Xenopus tropicalis: one gene and its partner. The protein of the gene in region 1 purifies or fractionates together with the protein of each later gene. This does not show direct contact. Links are inferred from orthologs where the notes say so. Each region holds a gene or a part of one and is shown in the gene's direction. Other genes may lie near its edges.

Evidence for each region.
Region 2: the proteins of syngap1 (region 1) and ywhae purify together in Homo sapiens (affinity purification with mass spectrometry; 3 studies listed by BioGRID and IntAct, with this or other methods). This does not show direct contact. The link is inferred for Xenopus tropicalis from reciprocal best matches to the Homo sapiens genes SYNGAP1 and YWHAE.

What each region holds. Positions count from the first base shown.
Region 1 is NC_030684.2:71,832,559-71,837,007, reverse strand, and holds part of syngap1 (ras/Rap GTPase-activating protein SynGAP), read left to right. Parts: coding exon 1-323; intron 324-3,718; coding exon 3,719-3,863; intron 3,864-4,023; coding exon 4,024-4,168; intron 4,169-4,449. UniProt on the Homo sapiens protein: Major constituent of the PSD essential for postsynaptic signaling. Inhibitory regulator of the Ras-cAMP pathway.
Region 2 is NC_030678.2:46,067,105-46,071,305, reverse strand, and holds the start of ywhae (14-3-3 protein epsilon), read left to right. Parts: upstream 1-1,401; 5' UTR 1,402-1,571; coding exon 1,572-1,635; intron 1,636-4,201. UniProt on the Homo sapiens protein: Adapter protein implicated in the regulation of a large spectrum of both general and specialized signaling pathways. Binds to a large number of partners, usually by recognition of a phosphoserine or phosphothreonine motif.

The sequences.
Region 1 (4,449 bases):
GGCGCAAAGAAAAGAGCAACTATGTGGGCATGGTGAACGTGCCTATTGCCAGCATTAGTGGGCGCCACTTTGTGGAGCAGTGGTACCCGGTTTCTCAGCCCACATCCTACAAGGGGAAGAGCAGCTGTCCCTCCATTCGCCTAAAATCCCGATACCAAACCATGAGCATCCTCCCCATGGAGCTGTACAAGGAGTTTGCAGAGTATGTCACCAACAACTACCGGATGCTGTGCGCTGTACTGGAGCCTGTGCTTAGCGTGAAGAGCAAAGAGGAGGTTGCCTGTGCTTTAGTGCATATACTGCAAAGCACAGGCAAGGCCAAGGTACATGGGTATATTGTGTGTCTTAGAAGCAGCATGTACTTTATAATGCAAGTATAAACACATATAAATCAGCTGTATCAGCTGCTTATGCATAATATAGCATGTAGAGATAGTATGCTGATAGTACACTGAAATATTTAAAGAGTTTGGCTAGTTAGTTAGATTAGTAATGAGTTGTTAATTACCCATTTCCTATGCCTTCTGGGCAGCCCTGAGAGAATTTGTGCTTGGAATGGTTGATCAGCAGATGCAATGAATTATAAGGTATTGTTGTGTGTAGGTAATCTGTATTTTGGGTCATTTCTAGGACTTCAGTCAAAAGGTGTGTGTGTTTTTGATGAATCTTAAACAGATGGTCACTGAGTAGATTTAAGGCAAACAGTTGCTAACTGAGGCTATAACTTTTTGAAGGTGGGCATATATTGGCCATTCCCATTTAGTACCCAACTGATCTGCCCATAGGCTGAATGGATGGATATTTTACATTGGGTTATTCATACACATCTTTGTCCTTTTCTATTTATTTTGGCCAACAGCTTGAAGATTTGGAACTATTTAGATTAGTAATAATTCTTTATTACTAAAGATGCTAGGTGTACCACCATAAGTTTCTGTAGAACATGTTTATTTTATATTCATACAGTTCACATTGACTATCTATTATTATTTATACTTTAAAGCAGCCTAGATATGGAGGATAATACCAAAGGTTTTGTATATCAGTTATTGGTTATAGTCTTATGCCAGAGGTACCCACACTTAAGCGGTATAGGGTTGTTGTCATGTAGGGGCCAACCATCTCAACTGCCAAAGAAAATATTCCTTACTTCACAGTTATTGTACATTTTGCATGTTTATTGAGTGGTGTCTGTGGACAACAAAACATGCTCCTGGGAAAAAGCAAGGAGAAACAGGTATATAAATAAAAGGGACAGTTGGGGCAGATTTATCAAAATGTGAGTTTAGAGCTTAATACATAAAAAAACTCACCAACATTATATTCATTCCTATGGGATTTCTAAAAGCATATTTATCAATGGGTGAGTTAGAAGTTAGATCTCACCATTTGATAAAAATGCCTCTAAAAAACCCAGTAGGAATGAATAGAACATGGGTAAGTTTTTATATATTAAGCTATAAACTCAATGTTATTCGGGCTTCCTTTGATTCCTGGTCCTGTCAGTGGCTGCAACCTCTCTACATCTTATTGCCAACCTGTCAGTGACTGCTAAGGCAAGTCTAAAACTGCAGGCTTAGCCAGCAACACAGTCACAGTAACTCTAGAAAATAAAACAATGGCAAATATACTTACAGCTCCTAATTTATACATTATATAAACTCATTGTAGAGATAACAAAAAAACGTATATTAATTTCCTCTGCTAAAACACATGTAGAGACAATTATCAGTAAAGGATCAACATTGTTTATTTTTGTAGCTGCAAAAAGTAGCTGCTACTAGTAGGTCCATGTGTCTTCACCCTAAGGCTTATGTTAAATGGGAAGATTAGTCACCCATGACAAATCTCTGCTTACCACGGGCTACTAATCTGCTCAAAATGCCTTCCCACCGGCAATAAGGTGTTGTTGGGAAGGCATAAGCGACGCTAAGTCACCTGAAGTTTTAGAAGAGGTTTATCATGGGTGACTAATCTCCCTGTTGGACATTGGCCTAAGAGTATGTGGAAGTAAGATGTTCCAAAATGTCCATGCTTCTCTAGAAGCAAGTGATAAAAATGCTAAGGGAAAGGTCAGATAAAGTGTAAATCTGCTTCTCTTAGTCCTGCACTTTTTTTGTCAGGCTGAGAGAAGTGGATCCGCTTCCATCCGCTCCTCTGTGTGCCTGCCTTAAAGACTATGGCAGCTGCCCCAGTGTGGGCACACAGAGTGGAGTGGATCGGAGGTTTGCCTGTAAAAAGAGAAAAGCAAACATTTTCAAGGCCGACCTCCGATCCATTTTGCTCTGTGTGCCCACACTGGGGCAGCTGCCATATTCTTTAAGGCAGGCACACAGAGGAGTGTACGGAAGCAGATCCACTTCTCTCAGCCTGACAGAAAAGTGCAGGGCTGAGAGAAGCAGATATACGCTTCACCTGACCCTGCCCTGGTGGCTCTGGCATACGAAACAATGTAACACACCACAGCAGATTGACAGACCTGACTTGCTGGAGGAGATTGACCATTGCAACATTGTTTAAAAAGTAACAACCAGGAGTTCAGTAAATGCTGCTTTCTATAGCAATTACATTTACACATAACTTTGATAAATTCAAATTAGAAAGTTGCTTGGAAATATTTATTCTTTTATTAGAAAAAAAATATTTTTGGGGTTGACATGTCCTTTAAATGTGCTTTTATTTTCTCCCTAGAGGATCATCTAATTTAAGATGCAGAGAAACTGTGTTTAAATAGTTGTTAAGCTTTCCCCGTTTGCATACATCTGGGTCCCAGAAACCACTCTATTTTGAAGGACTTGAGTGAGCAAACTCCTTCTTCTCCCGTTGATTACAGGAATCAACTTTCCCTATTCTATGCCTCCTGATAAAAGGGAGCTACACATTCCGAGAACTCAAGTTTTGTCTGTCTGTGTAATAAAATTTGGATAAAGCAGACACGCATATATTATTATAATTATAATGCACCAACACATTCCACATTGCTGTGCATTTACTTTTATAGAGCTAAAGAAAAACCATGCGTGCAGCCAAGCATATAAGAAACATTCACACAGATAATAGCATTTCCATAGTAGACATCTGCTGCATAACATGATGTGTGTGTCATGACATGGATGTGTCCTACATTAATACAAAGCAAGAAGTTAGTTTTAATAAAAAGTTCTGCAGTATATCTCAAAAGTGCTTGTTAGTGTGCTGCTGAGGTTGGGGTTCATGGTTTCATTTGTTAAATAACCTGACATAAATACATCCATATAGAGTCTCCATTTCCCTTTCCAGTTGGTTATTCTTTGACATGTGCATGTATTTTGTTGAGTGGAGCTCCTTACTATAAAAGCTACTTTGTAGTTCCATTTTGTCGCCAGTACCACAAGTGTATGATTAACATTGAAATGATAAAAAAGAATATTGGTTAGTAAGTAGTAGTGCTAATTTATTTAAATTATTGGTCTCTCTACTGGGAGAGATGGAGTCAAAGACTCTCTCTCATCCTTTCTCCTTCACTTTTTCTCTTTTATCAGGACTTCATCTTCCACATGGCTGTCACTCTCTTTCTCCCCTTCTCATTTTCTATTAACCCCTTTACCCCCTTTTCCTTCCACTCTGATGACCTTCTATTTCTCTGTTTGTGACACTCCATCTCCTTCTCTATCAATCTCTCATTTTCTCTATCACTATTTCTCTCTGCCTCCTTTCCTCTCTCCCTCTCTCTCCCCAGGACTTCCTTTCAGACATGGCTATGACCGAGGTTGATCGCTTCCTTGACAGAGAGCACCTTATTCTCCGTGAGAACACACTTGCAACTAAAGCCATAGAGGAGTATCTGAAACTGATAGGACAGAGATACCTCAAGGAAGCCATTGGTAAAGATGCTATTGTGTTGTTTTCCTATATTTGTTTTTTAATTTTTTTTCTCTTGTTTTGTCTCTATGATTTAATCTTTGTCTTTTCACATATGATTAAATTCTCTCTCTTTCATTCAGTTCTGATATTCATCTTTTTTCAAATTCTTTGTTCTTCTAGGTGAGTTTATTCGGGCACTGTATGAGTCTGAGGAGGACTGTGAGGTTGATCCCATGCGTTGTCCACCCTCTGCATTGCCCGATCACCAGGCCAATCTCAGGATGTGCTGTGAACTCGCCCTTTGCAAAGTCTTTAACTCTCATTGGTCAGTATTAGGTCATGTGATATAATGAAAAGTATTACACGTAATTCATTTCTGGAATTAATGAGTAGAGCAGAAGTGTGAAGGTTATTAAAGTTATAATGTTTGTCTCATACAAAAAGATAGGAGAGACTGTGGCCAAAACCTTATTACAGAGTAAAATGACAAAGCAGACAGGAAAAAAAAACCATAACCATAGAGATGGAGTTCTCTGGGCACTGATATCATTGTTGAATTACATTTTGTTCTATTAGCTTCTCTGTTATTTATTCCTTTCTCAATTT
Region 2 (4,201 bases), on another chromosome or scaffold:
GAATAGCACTTAATAGTAAAAAATCCAAGTCCAGTTTAGGACTCCTCCAGTTACAGGAAAGAGAGAATAGATTATCTGAAAGCAGTGAGAATTTGTAGCACAACTCCTTCTGAAAGATAGCTTCAAGAATAAAAATTTAAATGCTAGAGGGAATGATTTGCTATGTAAACGGTGTAATTTAGAAATAAAAAGTACCCCGTAAAAGTCATGACAGTATCCCTTTAACGGAAGGCCTTACCAGGGATCTATACAGAGTTAATGTCCGTTTTCATGCAAGACTAGTCCCGAGAGATACAGCCTAGAGCTGCACAGTGTAAGGCTGGCCATATACTAAATGATCTGCTTGTTTTGGTGAAGCTGCAAAACAAGAGGATCTCACCTGTATCAGCCCACCTTGAGCTGGTCAATATCACACTGATTCAATTTGATCCAAAGACAGTATGCATTCTGTTAGGAGGAGGACCATGCTAACAAGCTGATTTGGTTCTTGTCCCAATGGGATTTTTTTAACTTACCTGATCAGCAGCTGGCCAATTTTCAGCCAGATAACATTGAATTTGCAGTTAATGTTCACTGGGTGCTTTGCCAGTTCCAGAACCTGCCTGTTAGCAACACGATTAGACAAAAGTTAAGCATGCTCCCTAAAATGACTGCTGTGGGGCCGTCACCCCTAGTTAAGTCACTAAGTAACGCACTTTAATGCACCAGTTGCTGTAACAGTCTGTCACTGGTACCATTTTGTCACCAGTAATGGGGACACAAAGACAGACAACTAATCTCCCTGAAATGCCTTCCCACTGGCATCAGTGACTTGTTGGTGGGAAAGCATACACAGCTCATCCCTTTCTAAAACCAGCAAATGAATCTGTGTGTAACCCCTGCCCTTACATCCCCTCTCACCCATCCCTGTGTTATAGTAACAGCCATGGAGATCAATGGAAATCGGCTGCTATCCTGCTGTTCCTTGCATAACCCTATCATTAGAAGGGAGTGCATTCCTACAGAGGGAAATGTAATTAGATTGGCATCACAGACGAGTTTAAGTGTGATTTAAATTTAAAAAAAAAAGGGGGAATAATAGAAAACTGCGCCCCAGTCACAGCGCAGCGCAGCCCGACCAACTTTAGCGCTCCCGCCCCGCCTACTTACGCAGCCTTGGGAACTACTAGAACAGAAGGATCTCTGACATTACCTGGAAGCTATATAGTATAAAGCCCGTCTTTTCTATTTCACTACCTCCCCCTCCATCACAATAATCAATGAGACAATCGTCCCATACCTCCCGGACTCCCTTATAAGGTCAGCATGAGGTAAAAACCCCGCCCTTTCATGCCTGACGCAAAGCCGTTGGGCCCCGCCCATTTGTGCCGCGCCTGCTGCTGTTGCTAGGGAGCCGTTGCCATAGAGTTGAGCGATTGTCCGCGTGCGCAGGCGGAAGTGCCCGGATTGAGGCTGCCATCTTTCCCGGGCAGAGCTAGAGAGACAGAGAGGTTGAGTCACTGGGAGACGGAGACAGACAATCGGCTTCCATCCGCCCAGTAGATCGCCTTTAATCCCCGCTAGCTACCGCCATGGAAGAGCGAGAGGATCTAGTGTACCGAGCCAAGCTGGCAGAGCAAGCCGAGAGATATGACGGTAAGAAGAATCGCTAAATTCCCCCCCTTAGGTCGACGGGCGGAGAGAATGGAGGCGAGACAAAATGGCGGAGGGTCTAGCAAAGGGAGGGGAGGACAAAGGAGACCCTCATAGTACAATAGGGACTGCTTTTCTGGGATGACAGTTGCTTAGACCTGGCTGCCATTTAGTGTTAGAGGAGCTCCCTGGGGCTGGCTGCTGGCGGCCAAGCGGGAGGGGGCTGTGGTAGGAAGGGAGGCTGCTTATAAAATGGCGACTGCCGAATAGGGCGAGACTATGGGGGGCGGAGGGCGATTTATGGTGTAACTGACCCTTCAGCCTTTTAGGAGGAATAACAGAGGCTTAGACTGGGGGGCAGCTCCCCTATTGATACACTACACATCCCAGCATGCACTGCTAACCGGGCTGCACGGAGTGCATGGGAGCTGTGGGACCGCAGAGGGGATGTAGGGATATATGTGCCGGGGATAGGGCAGTGTGCTTATGGGCGGATCACTGGGGAAGATGGCGGCTGGGGCCGGTAAAACGTCTGCAGTGGTGCAATTTCCTGGATATGTGGGAAAAGCCGCTTGTCTGGCAGCGGAACAGGGGGTTAAGGCATCGCCATGGAAATGGCACTTGGGTGGGATGGCCCTCAGGCTGCGGGCGGCATTTGTGGGCTGAAAGGCTCATTGTCCCAGTCAAGCTGGAATCATGGACAATGTGCAGGTTTCGTGTCTGGCCAGTAATGAGTTCTCTTGGGTTACACACACTGGTCACATAAGGGGGGTCTCCATTATTCCTCAAAGCCCTGCAACCTTCAGCTCTGAACTACAACTCCCAGCATTCCACTGGCTTCACAAGCTGGAAGAGGCACAGGGGTTTGATAGCGTTCCGATGGGATGGAAATCTAGCTCCACTGAGCTTAAAGCTGCATCCAAACGGTGTTTGAATTTTTAAATATATTTTTTCCCAGAATTCCAGCATCTGTCAGCCAAAGCAGTCAGGGTGTAGTAGCTTGCTGGGTGCATCCTTTCATTGTACATTGGTGCAGTGTTATTGTGCAGACCTCCTATCTTTGTTATTCCACTGACAGCAATCTGGGTGGGGGGAGAAGGAAGGGTTATGGTGATGCTGCAAGCCCTTTTACTGTACAAAAAATCTTCCCATGATAGGTCTAGCTCAGATTTTTTTTCATTATTATAAAGGCTGTCTGAGATAACAGCCTATTTTCTATACGTTTTTTTAATTTTCATATGTGATATTTGCCAGGTTAATTCACACTGTCCCAGAAGTGGATTCTATAGTTGGCTGTTTCCTTAGCCAGCCTTGCCTCAGTGAAGCAGTAGGACGCGCCTTGCTGCGCACCTCCGCCCTGGGCCTGGCCTGTGTGCTGTTTCATGCGTCCAGGCTCATTCATTCCTGTCAGACCAGTCCCTCGTCGTGCAGAGGGATTTGTAGATCTGCATCTGGGTGCGTGTCTGTGAAGAGTTGGCAGGTGTGGGCGTGCCCTGTCTGACAGAATGGCCTTAGTCCTGACTGTTCTACAGGATAACAGGCATCCATGGAAAATTGATATATTTTTATTATTATTTAGATCTGGTTTATTTAATTTCCTCCAGCCGCCCTTATTTTTCTTTTACACCCCTAATTAGAACAGATACATTTTCTGTTAAATTTCTCCCACTTAAATTTTAGATATGGAGGAATAATTTATTTATTAAATGCACTGTGATGTTACTTTATACATATTTTAGATAACTCCCCAAGAAACCACATGAGAGGCATTGAAATCCTTATTAATGGAGTGGGGGTACCAGTCACCCACCTCCTTGCATTTATGGAATGCTTGTTTATGTGGTTACCTTTGTCTCACTTGTTTACTATATTTGGAATCCTGGGAATGCTGTAGTGTTCTAGAACAGAGTGTCTGGAACCTGACCTGAGGCAAGAGAATGTCCACTTATCCACATATGTTCATTATTATGTGAATAGCAAAATGTGGTAGGTCCTCATGCTGGAATGCTTGGATATTCACAGAAATGTCATTGTTAGGGAGGCATTAGAACAGGTTTTGAGAACCTTTTTATTCAAGAGATTTAATTTTCAGAACTGTGTGACTGAAACATGCACATCAGATGTGTCTCTAAGATATCTATACCATCCTACAGCTGCCCAAAGACTCCATTTGTATGAGTTATATTTCCACTGAGCTTCTGTATAGCGGATAATACCCCCCCCCCCCCCATATACACACAAAGTTGCTGATTTTTAAAGTGCTGTCTACATAAGTAGTTCTAAAGTCCTGAAGAGTGTTGGGTACCCAGGGTTATCTGCGAAATTTTTTTTGGGGGGGTTTAATGGGGTTTCTGGGGTGTCATTTTTTTTTTTTATTCCTTTACAGTTATTCATTCAATTTTTAAACTTCCTTTTTACTATTTCACTTCTTGCATTATGGTATCCCTCCTGGTAGTCTTTAGATTGTGGGCCAGAACAGGTAAAAAATGTGAGCTGGGTGGGGGTCTACCCAGTTAAACTCACATCGGTCTCTACACAGTTGTATATTTTTAAGAATACACTAACAGTA